Mus musculus: one gene and its partners. The protein of the gene in region 1 purifies or fractionates together with the protein of each later gene. This does not show direct contact. Links are inferred from orthologs where the notes say so. Each region holds a gene or a part of one and is shown in the gene's direction. Other genes may lie near its edges.

Region 1 (5,400 bases):
CTGCTTCTCTCAGTACTGCTAACAAGTAAAATCACGTTGGTTTGCTTTTTAATATGTATATGTGTGTGTTTGTGTGACCATATGCTGCAAGCGTGTAGATGCCCAAGGAGTCCTGATGGTATTGGACCCCTGGAGCTGGGGTTACGGGTGCTTGTGAGCGCTGGGAATCAGGCTCAGGGACAAGAGCAACACACAGGCAGAGGAAACACCCCAACTCAAGGCTGGGGAGAGCTGAGCAGCCAGGATTCCCCACAAGACAAATGCCGTGTGTTGTCTGAGTGCATCCTTTGGTCCCTAAACAGAAGTTTTATATTCTAACCTAATCCATTTGTGCCTTCCTTGTTAATCTTGTCACTTCTGAGTCAGGATTCTTATAGTTCCCCTTTCTCCTGGAGGGCCTGTCCACCTTGGCACTTGTGCACTTGTTCATCTTGCTTGGTCTGGCGAATGTTAAAACTCAGGTCAGACAGTTGTGGCAAAGGGTCTCAGGAGGAGCAGTGATTTCAGGAGCATTGTTTTCTCTTTAAATTTTTTTTTTTTTGAGACAGTGTTTTTCTGTGGTTTTTTTAAAGATTTATTTATTTATTTTATGTATATGAGTACACTATAGCTGTACAGATAGTTGTGAGCCTTCATGTGGTTGTTGGGAATTGTATTTAGGACCTCTGCTCGCTCTGGTCAACCGTGCTTGCTCCAGTGGCCCCACTCGCTCCAGTCAGCCCTGCTTGCTCTGTCCCTGCTCACTCTGGCCCAAAGACTTGTTTATTATTATATATAAATACACTGTAGCTGTCTTTAGACACATCACAAAAGGGCGTTAGATCTCATTACAGGTGGTTGTGAGCCACCATGTGGTTGCTGGGATTTGAATTCAGGACCTTTGGAAGAACATTCAGTGCTCTTACCCACTGAGCCATCTCACCAGCCGGAGACAGTGGTTTTTTGTTTTTTGTTTTTTTTAATATCCCCCCGGCTATCTCAGACCCTGTATAGCCAAGGATGAACTTGAACTTGCAATTCTGACTTTGTCTCTTGAGTTCTGAGATTATAACCACACCACAGCAGCCTGTTCTAGTTTATGTAGTGCTGGGGAGCAAACCCAGGGCTCAGTGCATGCTGTGCCCACACTCCTTGCAGCTGAATACATCTCCAGCCTATTTATTTGTCTTGTTTGGGTTTTTGTTTCCTTTAGATAGTCTTACTTTGTAGCCCTGGCTCACCTGGCCTTATGCTCCTCCCTCTGCTGCCTCAGAAATGCCAGGGTCGTAGTGCACCACCATGTTTGGCAGATTATGAACTCTTGAGGGACAGAAATTTTATTTGTATATTGTTAGTACCTGATTATGTACTAGGCAGCTACATGGTGTCTTAGGGTTTTCTTTGCTGTCAAGAAAAATCATTGCCACAGCAACACTTACAAAGGAAACCATTTAATTGAGTTGGAGTACAGTTCAGAGGTGTAGTCCATTCTCATCATGGTGGGAAGTGTGTAGCCTCACAGGCAGGCACGGTGCTGGAGATGTCGCTGAGAGGTTGTACACTGGCTCAGTAGGCAGCAGGAAGAGAGTGTGAGCCGCTGGGCCTAGCTTGAGCTTCAGTGACATACTTTCTAAAACAAGGCGTCTCTCCTATGCCAACAAGTCCTCATGTCCTAATCCTTTCAAACAATGCTACTCCTTAGCCTGTGGGGCCATTTTTATTAAACCACCATACATGTATTGACTATCAAAGTATTTTTTATCTCTATTAGTATTGATTCTATACTTTAAAAAAAACAAAATAAATGTTCTTTCTTTCTCTATATCTATTTCTGAGAGATATATTTTTACTTTAGTATGCATCCATATGGGTATGTGCACGTGTGTGTAGATGCTTGTACAGGCCAGAGGCATTGGACCTCCGTGGAGCTGGTGTTGTGAGCTCTCCAATGTGTGGGCACTAGGAATTGAACTCTGGTCCTCTGGAAGAATAGTCCATGCTCTTAGCCACTGAGCCACCTCTCTGGCCCTCTCCCTGTGTTTTAACTAGAGAACTGTTTTTATGAGTCAGAAGAAGAACCCAGTATAGAGTCTCTCTCCTTACAGTTACTGTTGCCCGCGCGACTTTATTGGTGATATATCCTGTGTCGGCATTAGGGCCACATATTTACCTTTCTTGTGATTCATGTCACTGACATTTCAAGGTTCAAGAAGTGGTTCATTATTGAGTCTCAGTTTCTTCTGATGAAAAAAGATTTCTGCTAATAGTTTAAAATTAAGTTTAAAAAAAATCCTTCTTAAGCTGGGCGTGGTGGTGCACGCCTTTAATCCCAGCACTTGGGAGGCAGAGGCAGGCAGATTTCTGAGTTCGAGGCCAGCCTGGTCTACAAAGTGAGTTTCAGGACAGCTAGGGCTATACAGAGAAACCCTGTTCTTGCCCCCCACCCCCAAAAAAAATCCTTCTTGTTGTCTTGGCCATGAGCTGGGGCTGGGTGTGTGACTTTGTGACCCTGGGCCAGTGCTCCACCACGGAGCTGCCCCCAATGTTGATTTTTGAAGAAGGCACTAAAGGTACCTTGAGACTAGAGGAGTTTATTCTAGTTCTTTTAAAATGACTGTCAAGTCTTTGGTAGAGAGCCAGTCTACATTGTAGAAGCTCACTCTAGTTGGAGAAGTGTGAAGACATGATACCTGTGAAGACTAAAAAAAATAGTTCATTACAAAATAAAAAGTGTGTCTTCTAGGGTAAATGTAAAGGGAAATAATTGTTTTGCTTTCTTTCAAAGGCTATGGAAATAGCATCCCAGAGGACCAAGGAAGAAAAGACTAGCCAAGATCATGTGGATGAAGAGGTGGGGGTTATTGTGTATTCACAGCCTTGGGGAACACTTGTGGGCTTTGCTTGGCACTCTGGAGTGTTGTGTTGTGTGTCTTTTCATATAAACCAGGCTGTCTTAGAACTTGATATGCGGTACAGGCTGACCTCAAACTAGCACTCATTCTGCTAGAGTTAGGAGTATGTGCCACCATTTCCAACTGATTCTTGTGTTACAGGAGTTTCCATGGTTTTGTTTCTGTTGGTAAAGCTTGAACTTGATTTTTAGACACAGGGTATATAATTTACATTCAGTTATATTGCTGTACTCAGCAGCCTTTTAGCCTGTTGTTCAGGCTTGTGGGGTGAGTCAAGAAGGAAAAGCCTATTCATGTGCAAGTATGAATTTTTAGATGGCCTATGTGCTCATTGTGTAAATATAACAGACTTTAAATACTTTGTTAAAAATTAAAATCGAACCAGTCTAAAGAAATCAAGACATTTTTATTAAGGTCCACAATAGGCTAATTATTATTATATTTATTATTTTAATTGTAGCTTATTCTCAGAAGTTTGTGGCAGCTTCATAGAGATATTCCTACAATGTAAGAGTGGTGGGTATTCAGTTGCTCACAGCCAGGCCGTCCTTGCTACCTGTCTATCCTGTCCTTCCTCAGATGCCCTTTGGAATGTGTATGTATGGGAGGAGTGTTACTCTAAGAATCATTGGAATACACTCTCTTTCTCCCCTAAGTCAGTTGTAAAATTTCATTTTTAGCTTACCAAATTGCTTCTAGCTTACCACATAGCAGACATGACCCCAGCGTGTGCACAGCTGGAGTGGGAGCCAGCATTGGCGATGAGGATACATTTCTGCACCCAGCTAAGGGTGCTGAGGGATGGGCAGGGTGAGGAATCACAGTTTGATTTTGCTTTCCTCTTTTAGGTGTTCAAACAAGCATATATTCCCAGAACCTTAAACGAAGTAAAGAATTATGAGAGAGATGTGGACATCATGATGAGGTTAAAGGAAGAAGACATGGCTTTGAACACTCAGCAAGACAACGTGAGTGGCCTGCTCTGTCTGGAGCCTGTTCTACCAAAGGAGACTGAGCGTAGTCCTGCCTGGTGCTCGTGAGACAGCCAGCTCCCTTTGCATAAGCTTCCATACGTGCTGCATAAGCGATGTAAGAGAGGGCGGTGCATTTCCATGTGTCAGAGAACTGTGATGAGAAAAAAGGCGAAGTCTCGGGTTAACAACGATCGTAGTGGGTTGATAAAGCTGTGCTTCATTTTCATACATATTTGAAGGAATGATTAAAATATTTATATCATTTTTAATTATGTGTGCGTGGGGGAAGGCATGCACACATGAGGGAATGCTGGTGTCCTTGAAAGCCAGAGGTGTTAGGGTTTATTGGAGCTGGAGTTAAGAGGGGGTTATAAGCTTCCCTGCATGGGTGCTGGGAACCAAACTCGGGTCCTCCACATGAGCAGAACAAGTTCTTAGCCACAGTGCATCTCTCTAGTTCCCCTGGGGGAAATTTTTTGTTGTTAGTAGACCAGAAAGTAACCTTTTAGGCTTTTTAGCCATGTAGCAAAATTTAGCTGTTTATATAAGTTTTTGTATAAAGAGTGAAGTAGTGTTCTCCAGCTTTTCATGCATGAAATAAAAGCATTAAGACTATATTACATGTGTGTTAGACATGTGTCAGCACGCATGCCGTGGTGCCTGTAGGAAGACTAGAGAACAGCTTTGTCGGCTCACTTCTCTCCTCCTTTGTGTGGCTTCTGCGGAACATAGGCAGGCTCTCGTGGCATGTGCCTTTATCTGCTGAGCTAGCTCTCGGGCCTAAAAGCGCTGTTATTCTTTATATATGTCTGTTGCCTGTGTGATTGCACATATACATCAGTGTGTGCCCTCAGGCCAGAAGAGGGTGTTGGAGCCCTTGGAGCTTTCTGAGCCACCAGATGAATGTAGGCGCTGGGATCCTAGCTCGGAGCCTCATGATTGAGCAGCCTGCACATTGAATCACTAAGCGTTTTCCAACCCCTTGAAAGCACTGTCAGTAATAACTACAGCTTGTGCCGTGGAGATCTACTGGTGAGAGTAGAGTAGGATTGTCTGTGGAGTACGTAACATTGCACTGAGTAAAGTCCAAATTAGTATTTGCTGTCATCTCGTGGGTTGCAAAACCCATCTGAAAACTCTCAGGTTTGATTGTATTGAGTCTGTGGAGATGCAGACCTGGGACACAAGAATAATGCATGTTCCTCTCCGTGTTACTGTGTGATAGATTCTGAGCGAGTTCTCATTCACAGGAGCAGGGTTTAGTCCATGCTTAATGGTACAGCATATACATATTATTGTCGGTTTCTATGTTTATATTACATTTATATGTATATATGTGATTATATATGTGTATATGTGTGTGTGTGTGTGTGTTATATATGTTAAATATATTATGCTTATATTCGTTTTCCTTTTGTTTTCAAGATTCTATACCAGACTGTCATGGGATTGAAAAAAGATTTGTCAGGAGTCCAGAAGGTATGAAAAAAATATGTTGTTATTGCTTTATAACAGAATTTATTCTGTAGATACTG
Region 2 (5,870 bases), on another chromosome or scaffold:
AAGACAAATTGATGAGAAACTACTATACTGGTTCTTGCCAGTTTTCTCTGACATACATGGGGGCTCCTTTTCTGAACCAAGCACTGTTTGTTTCACCAAATAAATGTCTTAGGGAATGTCTCAGATTAACCATTTCTCCAATCAGACTCATAGGCTACTCTTTTTAAGTACTGGGGATTCAACCCAAGCTAATCCAGCAAGAACTCTATCTGCTACCCTTGGAACCTACCTTGAAAACCTCTTTCTGAAATCTACCACTTAGAAAGCACACCTACTCAACGTTTTAAACTGGAAATTTAGAAACGATATTTAACCTCTCTTCTTTGTCTATTCTTGTCTTCATCGTCACAAATTCTTCCTCTCAATCTATATCCACATGACGAGGATTTTAACCTTCAGAGAGTTCTAGAATCTTTTCTCATCCCCTCCCTTACTCCACTCCCACCTTCTCATTCCTGTTCAGGGGACCTGCCTCCTAGTCTCACTAACAACAAACTAAATTTTAAAACGTAACACTTGGAACTGACTGGAGACATGGGTCAGCTTGTGAGACTGCCTAATGCCTTTGCAGATAGGGTCACTGCGCCCAGGCAGGGTGGCTCACACCTGACTGTATGTAGGTAGGTATATACATATATGTGAGGAAAAAAATCTTTAGATTCCTCTGTTGAAAAGAATCCAAAGGGAAAAAAGGAGGAAGAAGAGAAAGAAAGATAAAACTGCTATCACATCCTCCATGTATGTTATCCAACCTAAACAGCCTTAGCCCCATAGATATTACAATTCTACAGCCAAAAAAAGTGGAGTCTAGAGGTCAACTGACTGAATTCCATCCACCAACTCTAGCTTGTGAGTTTAATGCCTCAGGTCCCATCTGTTAAAGTGGGTAATAGAAAATGTGTTCATATTGTGTATCATAAAGAAAAAAATTAATTGAGCAAGTGTGGTGATGGGTGCTCATAGTAGTACCAGTAAACTGGAGTTCGGTGCAAATCGATTATGTATTGGAAGCCAGCCTGGGATACTTAAAGAAGCCCTGTCTCAAAAACCACGAAGGAATCCATGAAGAAATATAAGAGGTAAAGTCCGTATGCTGTGTGGTCTATAGGTCTCTGTTATGGGTTTCTATTCACCAAACCTGTAGGTTTTCACTGCTCTTATTCACTGGGACCTAGCGAACAGGGAAGGCAAGGGTTCCTAACCAGTGGCCTACCTTTCCCTCGGGCAGTCTTTTGACTGTCTTGCTGCGCACTGTCCATCATTAATGTAACCTTTTCGTGCTCGTGGCATGACTCGTGGGGATGGGGCGCTCGATCTCTCCGGCGACGTGGGGACTAAGAGGTCTGGTAAATGGCTGTGTGAACCCAAGGAGAACAGGCCTGACGAGGCGGAAGCAGGGTAGACTCGTGCACCCAGCCGGGAGACTTGGGATCTCCAGATGCGTGTGGATTTTATTTCTGTGAGTCCTCCTTCGGCGAGGGACTCCTGGGGCCTGGGTCCCTTCCCGCTTTTTGTTGGGAAAGGCTTGGTATTCCTTATACATCCTCTCTCGGGGTTTGCTCCTATGACCTTCAAAGAGAACCACATAGAAAACACTCGATTATTCTAAGCATCCTTAGAGGAGCGGGAAAGGGGAACCGATGCCACGTGACAAAAGCCAGCCGGCTCGCTGCGGACCTCTGAGTTGCCTAGAACATCCCGTCTCTATGGTCAACCGCATGCTAAGGCCCTCGCTGAGAAAGTTGTTCTTCCGGGCTACGACTACTGCTTCCGGGGCAGCTCCGTGCGAGCCGCGATTGCGGTACTCGCCTCTCTCGGTTCGCGTGGAGCGATGCTTTCCCCGGCAATGAGCTTCCTCAAAAGCTTCCCGCCGCCTGGGTCGGCCGACGGGCTCCGGCTGCAGCAGCCAGACACCGAGGCTGTGCTGAACGGGAAGGGGCTCGGCACCGGCACGCTTTACATCGCGGAGAGGTAAGGTTGGGGGGCGCCGACCAGCCGGCCGGCGCTATTGTGCGGGCAGGGTGGGATTGTCCCCTCCCGAGCTCGGCTGGTTCTGTCCCCTAGCCCGCGTTTCTCCCTAACGACCTGTGCGAACCGGCCTGTCTCCTGCAAGCCTGGCGCGTGGTCACGTTGAGTTTTGAGTCTGCAGAGCCTCGGTTAGTTTTTCCGTGGGCCTAGCTTTCGGAATGGTCGTGTCAACTAGACGATTTCCCTGCGTGGAATATGTAGCTCAGATTGTGACGGGTTACGACGTTTGGTTAATGAGCTGGGATGTTCTGCTTCAAGTGTGTGTGTTTGTGGGGGCTGGGGGGAAGGACCATCTTCAGGCCCACGCAGGGCGGAGTCACAACCAGCCGAACCCGACTCCTGGATGTGCAGGTCCTGGAAGGAATTCTTCTATTTCACTACCTGCAGGATTCAGTACTTTCACAATAACATAGACATGCCACTAAAATACACACTACATACACGCTCATACCCTCCTACCCCCACCCCATACCTTCCTGTTCACCCGCCCTCCCTCCCCATTTCTTTCCTTTCCCTTCCTCCCTCCTTTCCCCCCTCTTTCTTTCATTCTTTCTTTCTCTTCTCATTCTTTCCTGTCTTTCAGAGTCTCTGGTTTACCTTTTGCTATATTCTATTTGTTGGCCACAAAGGAAATCCTCTGCTTTTAAGAGCTCGAGTTATAACATTGCTCCTGCCTAGAAAATCCAGGCTATCTCGTTTATTTCACCATCAGTAGATTAGTAATCTTAATTACATTCAAAGTCCCTTCTTTCATGGCACTGGAAAACAAATCTCTTGGGGACCAAGATTATGCCTACTACAGAGCCCAGGGTATAAACGTGTAAAGAGCTATTTGTTCAGAGAACAGTGTGGATAGTGGGACTGGGTGTTTAGACACCGACTAGAAATACAAATGTGGGTGGGTGCGCAGTTTGGTTGGTATATGTGTTTGGAGTAGCCATGAGGGAGAAAGAAAAGGGATGGGAGGGAAGAAGTTGTGAGATTCATTCATTCATTCATTCATTCTGTAAGTTCTGTTACTCTAGAGAACCCTGACTAATACACATGGGCAAATAAAATGGATCTTGTCAAAGTTAGGAATATATCTGTGTTCCACCACTCCACATGCAGAAGAAATTGTGGAGATCACCAAAGATCTTACTGCTTATACCCAGCAGATGTTTTCCAGTTTACAGTCTATTTCTTCCATTCCTTCTCTCTCCTAAGTCTTCTTTCAAAAGACTTGAAGACTCTTGAAGCATGTGTCTCTCTAAGGTACTTTCCCTGGCCTCTCTTCTGGGCTATATAGCTGACTACAATGGGTATGTAAACACCTACTTATTGATTCCAAATCTGCCTTGTGTTGCAGGATGTTTGATCACACTGTAAACAATGAGATTGTATACTAGATAAAAACCTTTTTCTAGGTGTGGTGTGGCACAGCCTTTAGTCCACATCTTTATTGCCTCTGGCTGGAATACAGACAAGGCCTTAGTACACACCTTGAATCCCAAATAGTGAAGGTAAAGTTAGTTTGTGGAAGGAAGCACCATGTTTGAAAGTGATGTCTAGTTGAGTGGCAGAAAAAATGATCAAATCCGAGAAAGATTTGACCAAATAGGATACGCCCAACCTTCGGGAGAAAAGAGGAAAGGAAAGCTACTGGAGAGAGCAGTTCAGAGAGAGGAAGGAGGCGGTTTTACTGGGACAGTTGTACCGAGACAGGTTAGAGAAAAAGAAGGAGCCAGAAGATCAGGACAGATTGCTAGAGTTACCTTGATGTCAAGCAGAACAATTCAGTCAGAAGCTGAGAGAAACCCGATTGAGTCAGTCAGCTTGGAGAGGAGTTTGCACCAGAACAGCTGAGTTAAACCAGCCAGTTAGAGCTTTGAGAGAACAGGAAAGGGTGAGTTTATTCAGCAGTAAGTCTAAGTCTATAAATATTCTATGCCTAGATTAGATTGTATGGAGGCTAGAAGCTTCCAGGATTAAGCCTAGGCTAGCAGACAGGAATGAAAACTTTAGAGATGACATTACTACAGGAGAATAAGATACTTTTATACCCCTTGATACCATGCTCCACAGATACAAACTCAGAAGCCCAACTACTTTCACATCCACCAACCAAACTCATCACCCCTCTTCATATCAAGCTTGTTTTCCTTCATATTCACTCTGTAAACTCCCAGGCTTTGTCCACTATCAAAATTGCTCTATAAATCAAGAGGGGTTTGTTTTTGTAAATACCTTTATTTTGGGGGGGGGTGGGCTTCGAGACAGGGTTTCTCTGTATAGCCCTGGCTGTTCTGGAGCTCACTCTGTAGACCAGGCTGGCCTCAAACGCAGAAATCCGCCTGCCTCTGCCTCCGAGTGCGTGCGCCACCACGCCCGGCTTTTTAAACACATTTATACCCTGAACTCTCTAGTAGGCATAATCCCTGCCCCCTCTCTGTCTTTTGAGAATGGGGATGTTTTAGGATGACTTAGAGGCTGTGGTCTAGTTAATCCAACAATGGCTGGCTGTGAAGGGAAAGTCCAGGAATCCAGAGGCTGCTCAGTTCAAGGGGCTGGAGGTCTCAGCTGGTCTCAGTAGATGCTGGCATCCCCAAGACCTGGAATGGGTCTTCCTGACTCGGGATCGGGATTAGAAGTAGATCTTCCGACTTCAAATTAAGCAAAAAACCCCACACTGATGTGCCCTCCATTTTTGGATTTTTAGTTAATTCCAGATGTAGTCAAGTTGACAACCAAGAATGGCCATCATAGCAGGGCAGTGGTGCTGCACACCTTTAGTCCCAGCACTCGGGAGGCAGAGGCAGGCAGATTTCTGAGTTTGAGGCCAGCCTGGTCTACAGAGTGAGTTCCAGGACAGCCAGGGCTACACAGAGAAACCCTGTCTTTAAAAAAAAAAAAAAAAAAAAAAAAAAAAAAAAGAAAAGAAAAAGGCTGTCATACTATGTAAAATGGGATTTGTTTGTTTTTGGTTTCTTGTTTGTTTGTTTTGTTTTGGTTGGTTGGTTTTGGAACTCAGAAATCCTCCTAGGAAGTGCTGGGATTAAAGGCGTGTACCACCACTGCTGGGATGTTTCTTTGTTTTTTGCTTAAGACAGGGTCTCTCTCTGTGTAGTCCTGGTTCACCTGGACTTCCCGCCTTTGCCTCTAGAGTGCTGGGACTAAAGGTGTGTGCTGCCACCATGCCCAGTGAGTCTTTCTGTAATTCTTTTGGGGAGGGGAGGCTTCTTGTGTGTGCTTTTCCTTTTTGGAAAGTTTACAGCTTAAAAGGCACAAGTGGGTACAAGTGTTGTTAGTACCTTACAAAGATTCATTCACTGAGGGCTGGAGAGGCGGCTCCAAGTTTAAGAGCATTCGTTGCTCTTGCAGAGGCCTCTGGTTTGGTTCTCACATGCTGGCTCACAATGATCCCTAACTTAACTTCCGGGTCTGCTATCCTATCTGACTTATGTGGGCACCAGGCACACCCATAGTGCACATGCATGTATCCAAAACATGTTTTTTGTCTTAAAGAATGATTAATAGTTAACATTTTGCCTTGTTTCTTAAGCTGTTTGAGAGTTACAGACATCTCTTAAGTTCACATGTACACATCTTAGCATGTTCCTCAGAAGATACAGTTACCATATGCAGAAGGTATATCTCGGTTTATGATCTTAAGTATTTTTTTTAGATTTATTTATTTCATTTATATGAGTACACTGTAGCTGTCTTCAGACACACCAGAAGAGGGCATCAGATCCCATTACAGATGGTTGTGAGCTACCATGTGGTTGCTGGGAATTGAACTCAGGACCTCTCGAAGAGCAGTCAGTGGCCTTAACCGCTGAGCCATCTCTGCTGCCCCTTAT
Region 3 (6,070 bases), on another chromosome or scaffold:
TCAATTCCCAGCAACCACATGGCAGCTCACAATCATCTATGATGGGATCCGATGCCCTCTTCTGGCATGCAGGTGTATGTACAGATAGAGTACTCAAACATTAAATAAATAAATAAATAAATAAGGCAAGAAGATCAGGAAGAGAAGTAAACACCATAATTCAGGGGTGGCTAATGTCACTAAATGTTGACTGAGACGGGAATAACCAACTGTCAGTCTCCACTTCTTGTATTGATTCGCAGATGTGTCCTCATTTAAACTGCTATGGAGGCGCTGGCCTGGGTGTCTGCTTACACAAGATGCAATAGGCTTTCTGTCCTTGTAGAAGAAGACATTTCATCCTTTTTAGTTTACAGGACAATTATCCATCTTTTTGTCTTTTTTTTTTTCAGTAAAATTATGTTGCTCAAAAAGGAGCAAGTACGTTGTATAAGCATGTCTTGTCTGGGAAGATGGATTTGTAGTTTCTAAGTCATGGCAGTGCGTGCTATTTTTAAAGCTTGTTATCATTCGGTGCAGATTTCTCTTTCAGTCAGAGTGTGGTGGCTCACACGTGTAATCTCTGCACTTGGAAAGCTGAAACAGACAGGAAGATCTCGATTTCTAATTGAACTTGGGCTGTCTAGCAAGACTCCTGTTCAAAACAAAATTGGAAGGTAAGTAAACATTTCTGATTCCTTTCCCCAAGCTGCTGTGGGAATAGCAATCATGCAGTGGGAAGCAAGTATCTCCTGAGAACAGGTTAGTCAAACGCGCGCTTGTGTGTGTGCGTGTGTGAAATCTATTTGTGTGTGTGTGTGTGAACGTGTGTGAATGTGTATGGGTGAATGTGTGTGTATATGTGTGAGAAATGTATGTGTGAATGTGTGTGTGAGAAATATATGTGTGAACGTGTGTGAATGTGCGCGCGCGAATGTGTTGTGTGTGAACGCTCATTTGTATGTGTATATGTGTGACAAATGTGTGTATCTGTGAATGTGTATGTGTGAATGTGTGAATGTGTATGTGTGCATGTGTGTGTGTGTGTGTGTGTGTGTGTGTGTGTGTGTGTATGTGAATGTACCTAAATACAATCTGCTCAGTCTATACAATGTTACTTGCATGTGTAGGGCTTCCAGGGCAGACCATTGGGTACTGAATAACCAACCACTGAATACTGGATAACCAACCACTGGGTACTGGATAACCAACGGTACTCTTCCTTGGGGAAGGCTATCTCTCCCACTCTCAGCAATCCTTAGTTGCCTATAGTTCTGTGTGTAGGGTTGAGGCTTTGTGAGCCAATTAGCATGTCTACTGGTATCATCTTTGTCCAGCTCCTGTTCCAGTAGTCATGTGGGCAAAACTTTTTAGCTGTAGCCTCTGACACTCCTAAGAGAAACGGAAAACGGAGAATTATTCAACAAAGTCACATTACTGACTTGGAGCACTGGCTTTTGACTCTAAGTTCCTAACACCACCTTGTTTTTGTGGTGGCACGTTGTTTTGCTCCTTTATCCTGGTTCCTTGCAGATTGACTTTAAAGACGATCATTAAATCAAAGCAGCATGTCTCCAGGCTGCTGGGTTATCATTTCAGATCATTTCAGGTTGCTGAAGTCCCTCATTAAGGGATGCTGTAGTGCGGGTGCAGCCTGCAATCTGGAAAACCCTGTGATTGGGTAGAGAGAAAAGTGATGGAGCCCATCGGCTGTGACTGTGTGACACCCGGGTGGGCTCTATGTGTCATTTCACAATGCAGTAGGAAAGCCCCGTGTGGCTGGGATGGCTCAGTGCCCAATCAGGCCTAAGGCTCGAAACCAGCACTAGAGGTCAGAAAGAGCTGTAGAGCCTGCGGTCCCGCACAACAACGCAGGTGGGCGTGCCGTCCGGCGCTGCCCCTGCGCCGCCCCGCCCCCTCGGTCGCCGCGCCGCCCCACGCCGATTGGCTTGTCCGCAGCCCGTCGGCCGTCACGTGCCGGAGCGTCCCAGGCGCCTGGCTGTGGGCGGCCGGGCATGGACCCTCAGGCAGCCACCGGTCGGGGCCCGGGCGAGCGGAGTTCGCAGGAGGCCCCCAGCGCGGAGGTGAGCGCGACGGGGTGGGGGACGCGGGCATCCGCGACCACCCAGGCGGGAAACCGCGGGGTTCACGCGCTGCCGGGAGGCCGCTCACCCGGGAAACGCCGGGGCCGCGCGAGTGCACGCAGAGAGCCTGGCCGGTAACGGCAGTGGGCGCGGGAACGCGCGCGGACCCGAGCCCTAGGCTGTGGCTGGCGCTGAAGGGAGAGGGACACTGGGGCTGCTGGGGAGCATCTGCGGGAGTGAATGCAGGGAACGCGGAGCTGGCTTCCCGGAGCCGGCTGCCCTGAGCCCGCTCCAGCCGCAGGGGGCTGGGTCAGGTGGGAGCTGCGAGGAAACGGATTTTTTTTTTCTCACCTTGAGGACCTCTGGCCATTGGTGGGGATGTGTAGCTGACCTTGGACGCCAGATGTCACCCGTGCTTTTTCCCATTTGATGAAACGAATGGTCCCCTTGTGACACGGGTTTTCAGAAACTTGTTTTTAAGTGCGCGCCATACAGCCTTTCCCCATGACCTGCCCGTATTGCATCCACCTACTGCGAGCTTCTTGACTGTAGACATCCTGTTTCCCAGAAGCCGCACCTATGCCTGGTGTATCCTAATTGGATGAATGAATAGAACGCTTACCAGAGCCTCAGTGATGGTACTTGAAGCTGCTATTCAAGTACCAATAGATTTGCAAAGAAAATCACTTTTGCAAAATAGGAGAGTGATGTTGTTAGGGCGGATCTGGAAAGGATGTTCTTGGGTGAGAGGGTAGGCCCAGCAAAGGTCTGGATATGAGAAAGGGCAAGGCAAATGGCCTTGGAGCTTGGGTCGGAGAGCAGGCTTCTTACAGAAAGGAACGTGAGAGTCAATATGAATGGCATTGCTGGTCTGTGATGGCAGTGGAGGGCTCGCGAAGCTTTTAAGTGGAAGGGTGAGCAGGAGTAGGGAGATAGGCGTGAGGTTCAAGTAAGAGGTCCAGCACCATAGGGGGCAGCAGTGGTCTGTGGTTATCACGGACTACAGGAGATAGAGTCATTAAAGCTCAGGGGTGACTAGATAATGAACGGTAATTAGGGTGAGTGCTAAGTACAGTTTATTTACATGCAGGATGAAGGCTGGAAAGACAGCCATGGTGGTCTTACAGAGTTTGGCTTGGCTCTTAGCACCCACAACAGATGTCTCAGCCCTCTGCAACTCCCTCTCCAGGGGATCCTCCTGGTATATTCACACACACACAAATATACACAAATAAAATAAATATTGCAATTTAAGTCAAAGAAGTGTTACTTCTTGCAGTCTAACAGGTGGTTTTGTTATTATTGTTGGCTTTATTGTAATATTTTTGAGACAGGGTCTCATGTAGCCCAGGAGCTGGGCTCACTCTGTGGCCAGGACTTCTGATCCTCCTGCACCTATCTCCTAAATGCTCAGATTACAGAGTGGCCCACCATGCCTGGTTTTATGTAGTGTTGGAAAAATCAGTGTGTAGCTTTGTGTACACTAGGCAGACACTTGACCAACTGAGCTACGTCTCCAACATATGTTAGATGTTTTATAAATATCCTCCATCATACGACCCCTGCCAGATCAGAACAGCCATTCCAGTATCTAAAGGTCACAGCCTACGTGCATGGTGGGGCAACAACTGACATCAGCCTGATCATCCAAGCCCTGGACATTACTGTTTCCACTGCAGAGAGACCTTGGGGGGAGTAAAGTTTGGGGAACTTTGAGGCAACAGGCCGCAAAATTACCTGGTTGGCATTGGGGGGGGGGCGGGGTTAGGTATTCTTTCCAGTGTGTAGAACTCAGGCTGCTTCTCCCGTGGACCGCTGTGGAATGGCTGTGTTGGAAGGAGTTGTTAGACATAAAGACCTGAGAAGGGCAAAGGTGTGCAGAGAAGTTGCAGGTTCAGGAGACAACTATCAATCCTGGCCAGGAAAAAAGAGAAGTTAGAGCAGTTAAAGTGTTTTTGGACTTAGAGGAAAGAGTTTACACACAGACTTGAGGTTACAAGCCGAGACCAGGGAGCTGTCCCATCTGGCTCTAGGGTCTCTGAGCTTGGAGAAGTCCTGCTGCCCAGACTTCTGAAGAGGGCCTGGGGCTGAGAGCAAAACTGACAGCTGTGACAGCTGTCCATTGGGCACCGCAAAAGGGCACTCCCAGCGGTCAGAACGGAGAAGTGTTCCTGGGTGATGCCTGTAGCCTACAGGCCCTGTTCTGAGGCCTTGCCAGGTCCTCAGAAGGGTGTGCAAACTCTACATCGTGCAGGGCATTATGGGTGGGCGGGTTTGGAGCTTCAAAGCAGTGACATGTCCTACTACCCAAGTTCCTGGTAATTATTTCTTCTTCCACAGGCTGGCTTTGCCACAGCTGACCTCTCTGGTCGGGAGACGGAGACTGAGCTGGCCGTGGATCGACTAGGCAAGTAGACGGCAGAGACTGGGGCTGGGGTGGCCATTGGAAGAGATGGAGACAGCACAGTCCCGCTGTCTTGTCTATCTTCTCTTGCTAGCTGACCCACTTAGCCACTGAGTTACCTTCTTTGCCCACTGTCTCAGCGGGACTCTTGGTTTAGAAGCTTCGAGGAGGTACTGGATGACCGTGGACCCAAACCACCCCATTTCACTGGGAGGAAAAGCATCTAGTGTGTGTAGCTAGGAAGACTGTTTCAGTTTCAGACCCAGGTTGTAGTCCTTGGGCTTGCCTTTTTCATCTCTAGATGGCTTTATCTTTAAAGTAGGGTACTTCGTCGTGTTGAATGAGAAGATCTGTAATGACACTGCCACTGTGTAGCTCTGTGATGTACTGAGTTACACTGGGTAGCACTGGTCTATACAGCCTGGGTACAGACAGCATGGGTATGATCAGAGTAGGTGCTAAGTGTTTCAGGCACAGATCTGAGTGTTTCCTTTTTTCCCCCTAAATAAACTCACAACAATCTGAGGACTATTTCACCAATGAGAAACTTAAGGTACATAGTAAAGTCTTAAAATACAGCAAAAGATATAGACTTGGCTTTACCTGTTAACTATATTAACTATATGACCTGGCTCATTCCGCTCTGTGATAGTGTGTACAACTGTCACTGCTACCTCTAGGATGTTGTCACGACCCCAAAAGGAAGCCCTGTCTCTGGAGCACTCTCCACTCTTTAGTTCTCAAGCCCCTAACTACTGATAGCTCCCCACCCCTAATGAATTACCTGGTATGGACATGCAAGTGTGAATTCACAGTAAAGGAAATTTTGGTCTCTTACGTCCTGCTTCTTCCAGCTCAGCACATTTCCAGGGTCCATTCCTGTAGCAGCCTGCGTCAGCACCCCTCACCCACAAGACTGAGCACGCCCACCACCAGGTTTCCTGCACTTTGTGGATCATTTATCCCCTGGTGGCATTTGGTGGCTGAATGGTGCTGCAGTGAACATCTTTTCTTGTCTGAAGTGTGCACTGTTTGAAGCGGAGTTGCCAGAGCATGTGGTAATTCAGGGTTAGTTACCTTCAGTGTCAGACAGCTCAGAACAGATCTGACCTGAGGCAGTCTGTCTCCAGATTCCGTGCTCTCCACTGAATTGTGTTATAGCTGTGATGACAGTCTTAACACCATGGCTGTTCTCAGGCCACTTGCTTCCTTTCCTCAGACCTGGTATCACCATAGCAACCCATGTTTTGGAGGTCTACTGTCCTTCTGTAGGCTTTGTTACGTTACTGTGTGGCTTCCCTGAATTCAGGAGGAAGAACACGGGGACTGGACAGGCTCCGTTCTGTTTTCCTTTGTGCACTTGCATCTAACAAGCTTCAAAAGGAAAAGTGGGGCATGGGCTTGAATAGCGGAAGTACACTCTGCCAGAGGCCATTGGGTTCACTGTAAACGACCTGAAGATGTCCCCTTTATAAGCCGATACCCTCTGTACTGACTGAGTGGCCTTGTTTATGACAAAACATCTTGGAAAAAATGATCAACTTCATTTCTAAAATATAAACTAAATACTCCAGTCAGTAAGTGCTCACGTAATGAAAGAACT
Region 4 (5,400 bases), on another chromosome or scaffold:
GTGACTGCATATGGTAAGAGTTTGTAGTTAATTGTCCCAGCCACATAGTGACTTACTGATTCTATACCACAAAGGAAACTGTTGTCTACATTTTGAGAGACTAGGATTCATTCAAATCCAGGTCTGGCTCACATCAAAGTATGGTTTTTGTTGTTGTTTTTTTTTTTTTTCTTCCTCAAGACAGGGTCTGTATGAAGTTTGGGCTGTCTTAGAACCTGATGAGTAGACCAGGCTGACCTTGAACTCAAAGATCCTTCTGCTTCAGCCTCCCACATACTAGAATTAAAGGTGTATACTATACTTAGCCAGGAGCGTGAATTCTTAGCCACTGTGACGTGCTTTATTTCTTCTGCAGGTGACGAGAATGGATCTGTCTCCCTTGTGGACACCAAGAATGCAAGCTGTACCCTCAGCTCAGCTGTGCACTCCCAGGGTGTCACTAGACTGGTATTCTCCCCACACAGGTGCTGTGTGTCACCAGGAACTTGGAAGGGATGGGTGGGGACAGTGGTGAAGGAGTAGGAATGGAGTGACACAGGGAGGAGGTATCTATTTGGCAAAGCTGCTTCCATTGGTCCTTAGCTGGGGCAGTACTCTAACTTGGCTTTCCCAAGCTTGTCAGTGTAGTCTTTATTTGGTTTGTATAGTTTGAGAAGACCTAAAATATAATCTCATTCCTGCTCAAAGCCTGTGAGTCTGAGTAACTGTTGCTAATGTAGAGAAGGAGCCATTGGGCTGGTGGGCTGCTAGTGTGGTTTCTGTGAGCCCTGTTCCATTTTCTTTGCCTTTCCTTGGGATTGTAATGGTAGTAAGACCTAAACCTCAAGTGGCCATCAGGATGCCTTCTCCCCTGTCTCAGTTTACAGTGGGGTCAGGGCTGGCCCTGATAGATTTTGGTTGTGGAATCTATGGACTTTATCTTCTTTTCCTTTTGTGTCCTCTCCTAGTGTCCCCCTCCTGACTTCTCTCAGTGAAGACTGTTCACTTGCTGTGCTGGATTCAAGCCTTTCTGAGGTGTAAGTTTGAAGTAGAATCCTGTGGTCAGGAATCGGGGATCAAGACCAGTGGGCAAGCAGGTCTGGTTCCTCTTCAGGAACATACAAGTAGAATTCATCCTTTGTTGGGTCTGGAGAAATGGCTCAGCAGTTAAGAGTACTTCCTTTTTGTTTCTAGTAAGCACATTAGTCTGCTCATAGCTGTCTCTTAACTCCAGATCCAAGGCACATGATACCTCTGGTTTCTGTGGGCATCTGCACTCAGAGGCATGCACACCCACATGGAAATACACACTTACATATTATTAAAAATAAGTATAAGTACAAGAAAAGTTTCATCTTTCTCTGCAGAGATCCCCAACCCCTCCCCAAAATCCTCTCCATTTGCAGCTATGTGTCTGCAAGACTGAGTGCTGAAAGCTCTCTGATTGTAGGCTTTCTGGCTAGTGTTCCAGCTTGATTTAGGGAGCCACTTTGGAGAAGTGGAACTTGGTGTAGGGTAAAAAAAGGCACTGGATGGGAGACCTGGGTATGTATCCCTCTGCCATAATTTCCCATTGACTGTGGACATTATTGCTTCCTTGTTCTGTCCACTGTGTCTTCACCTAAGAAAGTAGACTGGGTTGGATAATCTAACACCCACTGGCCTGGTAATGGGGCTGTATAGATGGTAAAATGTGTCCTGAGTATGTTACTAGGTTTTCTTTCCAAGTAGTTTCTCCCTATCTCACACCCTGTTTTTCCCCCTTTTGTTCTAGGTTTAGAAGTCGAGCCCACAGAGACTTTGTGAGAGATGCTACGTGGTCTCCACTCAATCACTCCCTTCTTACCACAGTTGGCTGGGACCATCAGGTCATCCACCATGTTGTGCCCTTAGAGCCTCTCCCAAACCCTGGACCTGACAGTGTTGTGGAGTAGAATGGATTTCAGAAAAACCAAAACAAGCCCTCCGTCTGTAAGCGACTACTCGATTGCCCCTGCCTTCCATGTGTGAGAGCACAGGAGCCTTGTAGAGCATGTTTCCTCCCTAGCCCCGTGCAGTAACAGGCAGATTCTCAGCCTGAGGGAGGCTGCATCCCATAGTGACTCAGAGGAAGAAACTTCCTCTGTAAATGGATGTATGTGAGTACACGTGTGAGTGCGGTATATAGTTTGGAGTGGAGAAAATTATTCTTCAGCTTTCCCAAAGCAATGCTCTTTACCCCTGACAAAGTGACCAGAGGATTTTAATGCTTCCCATGTCTGGGAATTGGCGATGTTAGGGATATGGAATGTGGGTATCCCTAGATTTTTGGGAATACTTCATACTACTCAGAGGTGCGTAACTTATTTTTATATAGAGTTTAATTCACTATTATGGGAATTACTTCCATATACAAAAGTCTAGCCCACTGTACCTTGAGAAGACAAAACAGTTTTGTACAAGTCCCTGTTATACTGAGTCAAATCCATTTTCTGGGTGAATAAATTTGGCCCTGCAGTGTAGCTCTTGTTCACCCTTTCCTTCCTTGGTGTTGTGTGTGAGAGATGAGTGTTTTCCTGTCCTAGATTTCACAGATAAGTTGTAGGGATGATGGACCACTTAAAAGTGTTTCAGTGAAGTGGGAAAATTGACATGGATTGTTACAGAGAAATCTGTCATTTTTCCCACCTAAAAATTGATCTGGGTACCTTCCTCTGGAGAGCTGAAGTCTGAATGTATTTTTGGACTCCTAAGATTTGAGATCCAGCATCAGGGAAACTGTCGGAAATACTAAAAGGTGAAATAAAGACTTTTATCCTTGATTTTCCCTCCCCAGAGCTGTTACTTATTACCTGCTTCGCTTAGGTGAATCACCAGTGTCAGACTTAGCTGCCCACTGTCTTTGTAATCTACTGTATTCCACTCCATTAGAGACTGTGGATCTGTAACTGATCTTATTGGAGCTTTCCAACTTGGGTTTAGGAAAAGCACATAAAATGGGCGCCCTGAAGGAATGTGATCGTCCCTTCTAGTCTTGCCAGTCATGAGCCTCTGTTGTAATTACCCTCGAGCAAAACGCTTGAGAGTTTGCAGTCAAGGTCACCTGGGGTTGGGACTGTGGAAGCAAGGACTTGCATTGTTACTAAATTCAGGGAAGGCATAAGATAGGTAGGATCAGTTTCTGCTTCTTAGAGATAAAGCTTGTGCTTTGTGTCACTTAGGTAAGGACAGGTAGTGCATTTACATGGCCTGCTTTGGGGGCTAAGACTAATAGAGGAAAAGCCTGAAAGAAATGAGTAAATACGGGTTGTTTCCTTTTAGGTCTGTATTGGTAAAAGTAATCCACATTGATTAATTCGTGCCACAGATGTCCAACTTAGTCAAAGCCACAGTAAATGACAGGCATAATTCTACATAGTATATTATGATATACAAGGTAATATACCTCAAATCAGATCAGGAATATGAGTTGTAGCAAGTCATTATCTCGAGAATAGTTCCAGCACTGCAAGCCTCAGTGAGGTAACACTAGGGTTATTTTGATCGTTGAAAAGCATTTAGTTTTTTTCACGTTAGTGTTAACTGTTCAAATGTGTGAACGAGAGTGAACACATTTCCTTAGCTTTGTTTTTCTTACTTAGCCTCACTACTATTGAACTGCTGACCTCTGGCCAGCCAAGGTCTGAGACTTGTTCCTAGAGTGGTGGGTGCTCGGGAGAAGAAACATTGAAGATCTGTGTAGTCTCGGGTGATGACAGGTGTTACTAGTTTTCTAGGTATCTCACTCTGTAGCACAGCTGGCCCCTGGTGCTCTAGTGAAGAGCTAGCTATATGGATGTTTCTTGTGGCTCACTGTCATGGCTTCAAAAATACCCAGTGAGGGCCAGGAGATTGTTCAGTGGGTAAAAGTGTTAGCCATCAAGCCTGGGACTGACATGGCAAAAGGACTCTTGACTGCAAGTTGTCTCCATGTATGCACATGAATAAAAAAGTACCCAAACTCAAATCTGCTTGGGGGCTCTATCTTTTTGCAATACATAAGGAAGGACAGGATATTCAGAAAGAGGCCTTCTAAAAGTCATCAACTTCACACAGCATCGTAACATTGCTGTTTTTAGAATATACAGCTCCGATTTTAAAAAGGTATTGTATGTGGACAGTGCATAATGTCTTGTATTTTCTTTGCGTTTTGGTAGTTGTTTGGTTTAGCTTTAAGCCCACGAAGTAAATGTGAATAGAAAAAGACATTTTTAATGTCTGTGTATTGTGAAGGCTTAGGGCATCTAACAATCCATGTGTGGAAGAAGCTAAAGACAATTTGTATCTAATCAACATTTGTATTGAGTTGCTTATTGCTAATAAAGATAATGTTGGGGGTGGGGAGTTTAGAACTAGGAAATTGCTTTTGTTGTTGTCTCAAGAACTTCATGTCCCATGGTGGGACTCATGTCTCTAGCTGCATATGCAGCAGAGGATGTCCTAGTCAGCCATCAGTGGGAGAAAAGGCCCTTGGTCTTGTGAAGGTTCTATGCCCCAGTATAGGGGAATGCCAGGGCCAGCAAGTAGGAGTGGGTGGGTTGGGGAGCAGGGAGAGGGGGGAGAGGAGATAGGGGATTTTTGGAGAGGAAAAAGGGATGGGGATAACATTTGAAATGTAAATAAAACTAATTACAAAAAAAGGGACTTCATGTCTAATCTTTAGAGTACTGGAAATAGGAAAAATCGGATAGTAAGCAAGGTAAGTAGGCCACTGTTGAGCATCCAAACACATTTCCTTGTGAGATTTTAGACTTCTGTGAGGAAGCATAGGTATTTTCATTGTGTGGACATAGCATAGGTGCAGCCCAAGGGGGCTGAAGAAGGAATTCGCTTCTGGAGAGGAGGAATAACTGGTAAGTTAGAATGACCACAGTGCATGGTCTTACAGTCTTTGATGTGGTCCTCCACTTACTGTGGGTTACTTTGATATTCTGCCATTCTGTGTGTAAGGAATGAATTGTCAAATTCAATGGCTCAGTAAACAGTTCTGGTGGGAGCCAGCCACTGATTGTTTGAAAACTCACTCCCTTGTCCCTGTTGTGTTAGACAAGCATTTCATTTTGGAGGCATTGTGCTAAAAGCATTAACAATTAGTTTCAAATGAAAAAGTTCCACTCTAGTAGTAATTTCTCTAGAGTGGATTCTCAGCAATGCAATGAAGACTATACTTAAGAATGTATTTTACATCTACATGCTAAGCCTCAGTTCTACACATACAACTTAACAGAAATCATTTGACACTGGCCATGCTTAATAAGCTGGGTGTGTTTGGTTCCAAGGATATGTATTTTCTTACTCTAAAGGCAGATGACATAACTTTTGAACCTAAGAGGTAGTCCTGGATCCTTCAGTAAAGAGCTTACATCAGCCTGGGTATGAGGGCCTGTCTCAAAAAACAATAAG

Evidence for each region.
Region 2: the proteins of Riok1 (region 1) and Clns1a purify together in Homo sapiens (affinity purification with mass spectrometry; 3 studies listed by BioGRID and IntAct, with this or other methods). This does not show direct contact. The link is inferred for Mus musculus from reciprocal best matches to the Homo sapiens genes RIOK1 and CLNS1A.
Region 3: the proteins of Riok1 (region 1) and Coprs purify together in Homo sapiens (affinity purification with mass spectrometry; 3 studies listed by BioGRID and IntAct, with this or other methods). This does not show direct contact. The link is inferred for Mus musculus from reciprocal best matches to the Homo sapiens genes RIOK1 and COPRS.
Region 4: the proteins of Riok1 (region 1) and Wdr77 purify together in Homo sapiens (affinity purification with mass spectrometry; 5 studies listed by BioGRID and IntAct, with this or other methods). This does not show direct contact. The link is inferred for Mus musculus from reciprocal best matches to the Homo sapiens genes RIOK1 and WDR77.

Annotation. Positions count from the first base shown.
Region 1 is NC_000079.6:38,053,398-38,058,797, forward strand, and holds part of Riok1 (serine/threonine-protein kinase RIO1), read left to right. Parts: intron 1-2,764; coding exon 2,765-2,830; intron 2,831-3,739; coding exon 3,740-3,859; exon of another isoform or gene 3,860-3,980; intron 3,981-5,290; coding exon 5,291-5,344; intron 5,345-5,400. UniProt on the Homo sapiens protein: Involved in the final steps of cytoplasmic maturation of the 40S ribosomal subunit. Involved in processing of 18S-E pre-rRNA to the mature 18S rRNA. Required for the recycling of NOB1 and PNO1 from the late 40S precursor.
Region 2 is NC_000073.6:97,694,899-97,700,768, forward strand, and holds the start of Clns1a (methylosome subunit pICln), read left to right. Parts: upstream 1-1,758; 5' UTR 1,759-1,831; coding exon 1,832-1,971; intron 1,972-5,870. UniProt on the Homo sapiens protein: Involved in both the assembly of spliceosomal snRNPs and the methylation of Sm proteins.
Region 3 is NC_000074.6:13,886,160-13,892,229, reverse strand, and holds the start of Coprs (coordinator of PRMT5 and differentiation stimulator), read left to right. Parts: upstream 1-1,958; 5' UTR 1,959-1,994; coding exon 1,995-2,063; intron 2,064-4,403; coding exon 4,404-4,470; intron 4,471-5,321; coding exon of another isoform or gene 5,322-5,503; exon of another isoform or gene 5,504-6,070. UniProt on the Homo sapiens protein: Histone-binding protein required for histone H4 methyltransferase activity of PRMT5.
Region 4 is NC_000069.6:105,965,410-105,970,809, forward strand, and holds the end of Wdr77 (methylosome protein 50), read left to right. Parts: intron 1-355; coding exon 356-464; intron 465-947; coding exon 948-1,016; intron 1,017-1,753; coding exon 1,754-1,913; 3' UTR 1,914-4,351; downstream 4,352-5,400. UniProt on the Homo sapiens protein: Non-catalytic component of the methylosome complex, composed of PRMT5, WDR77 and CLNS1A, which modifies specific arginines to dimethylarginines in several spliceosomal Sm proteins and histones.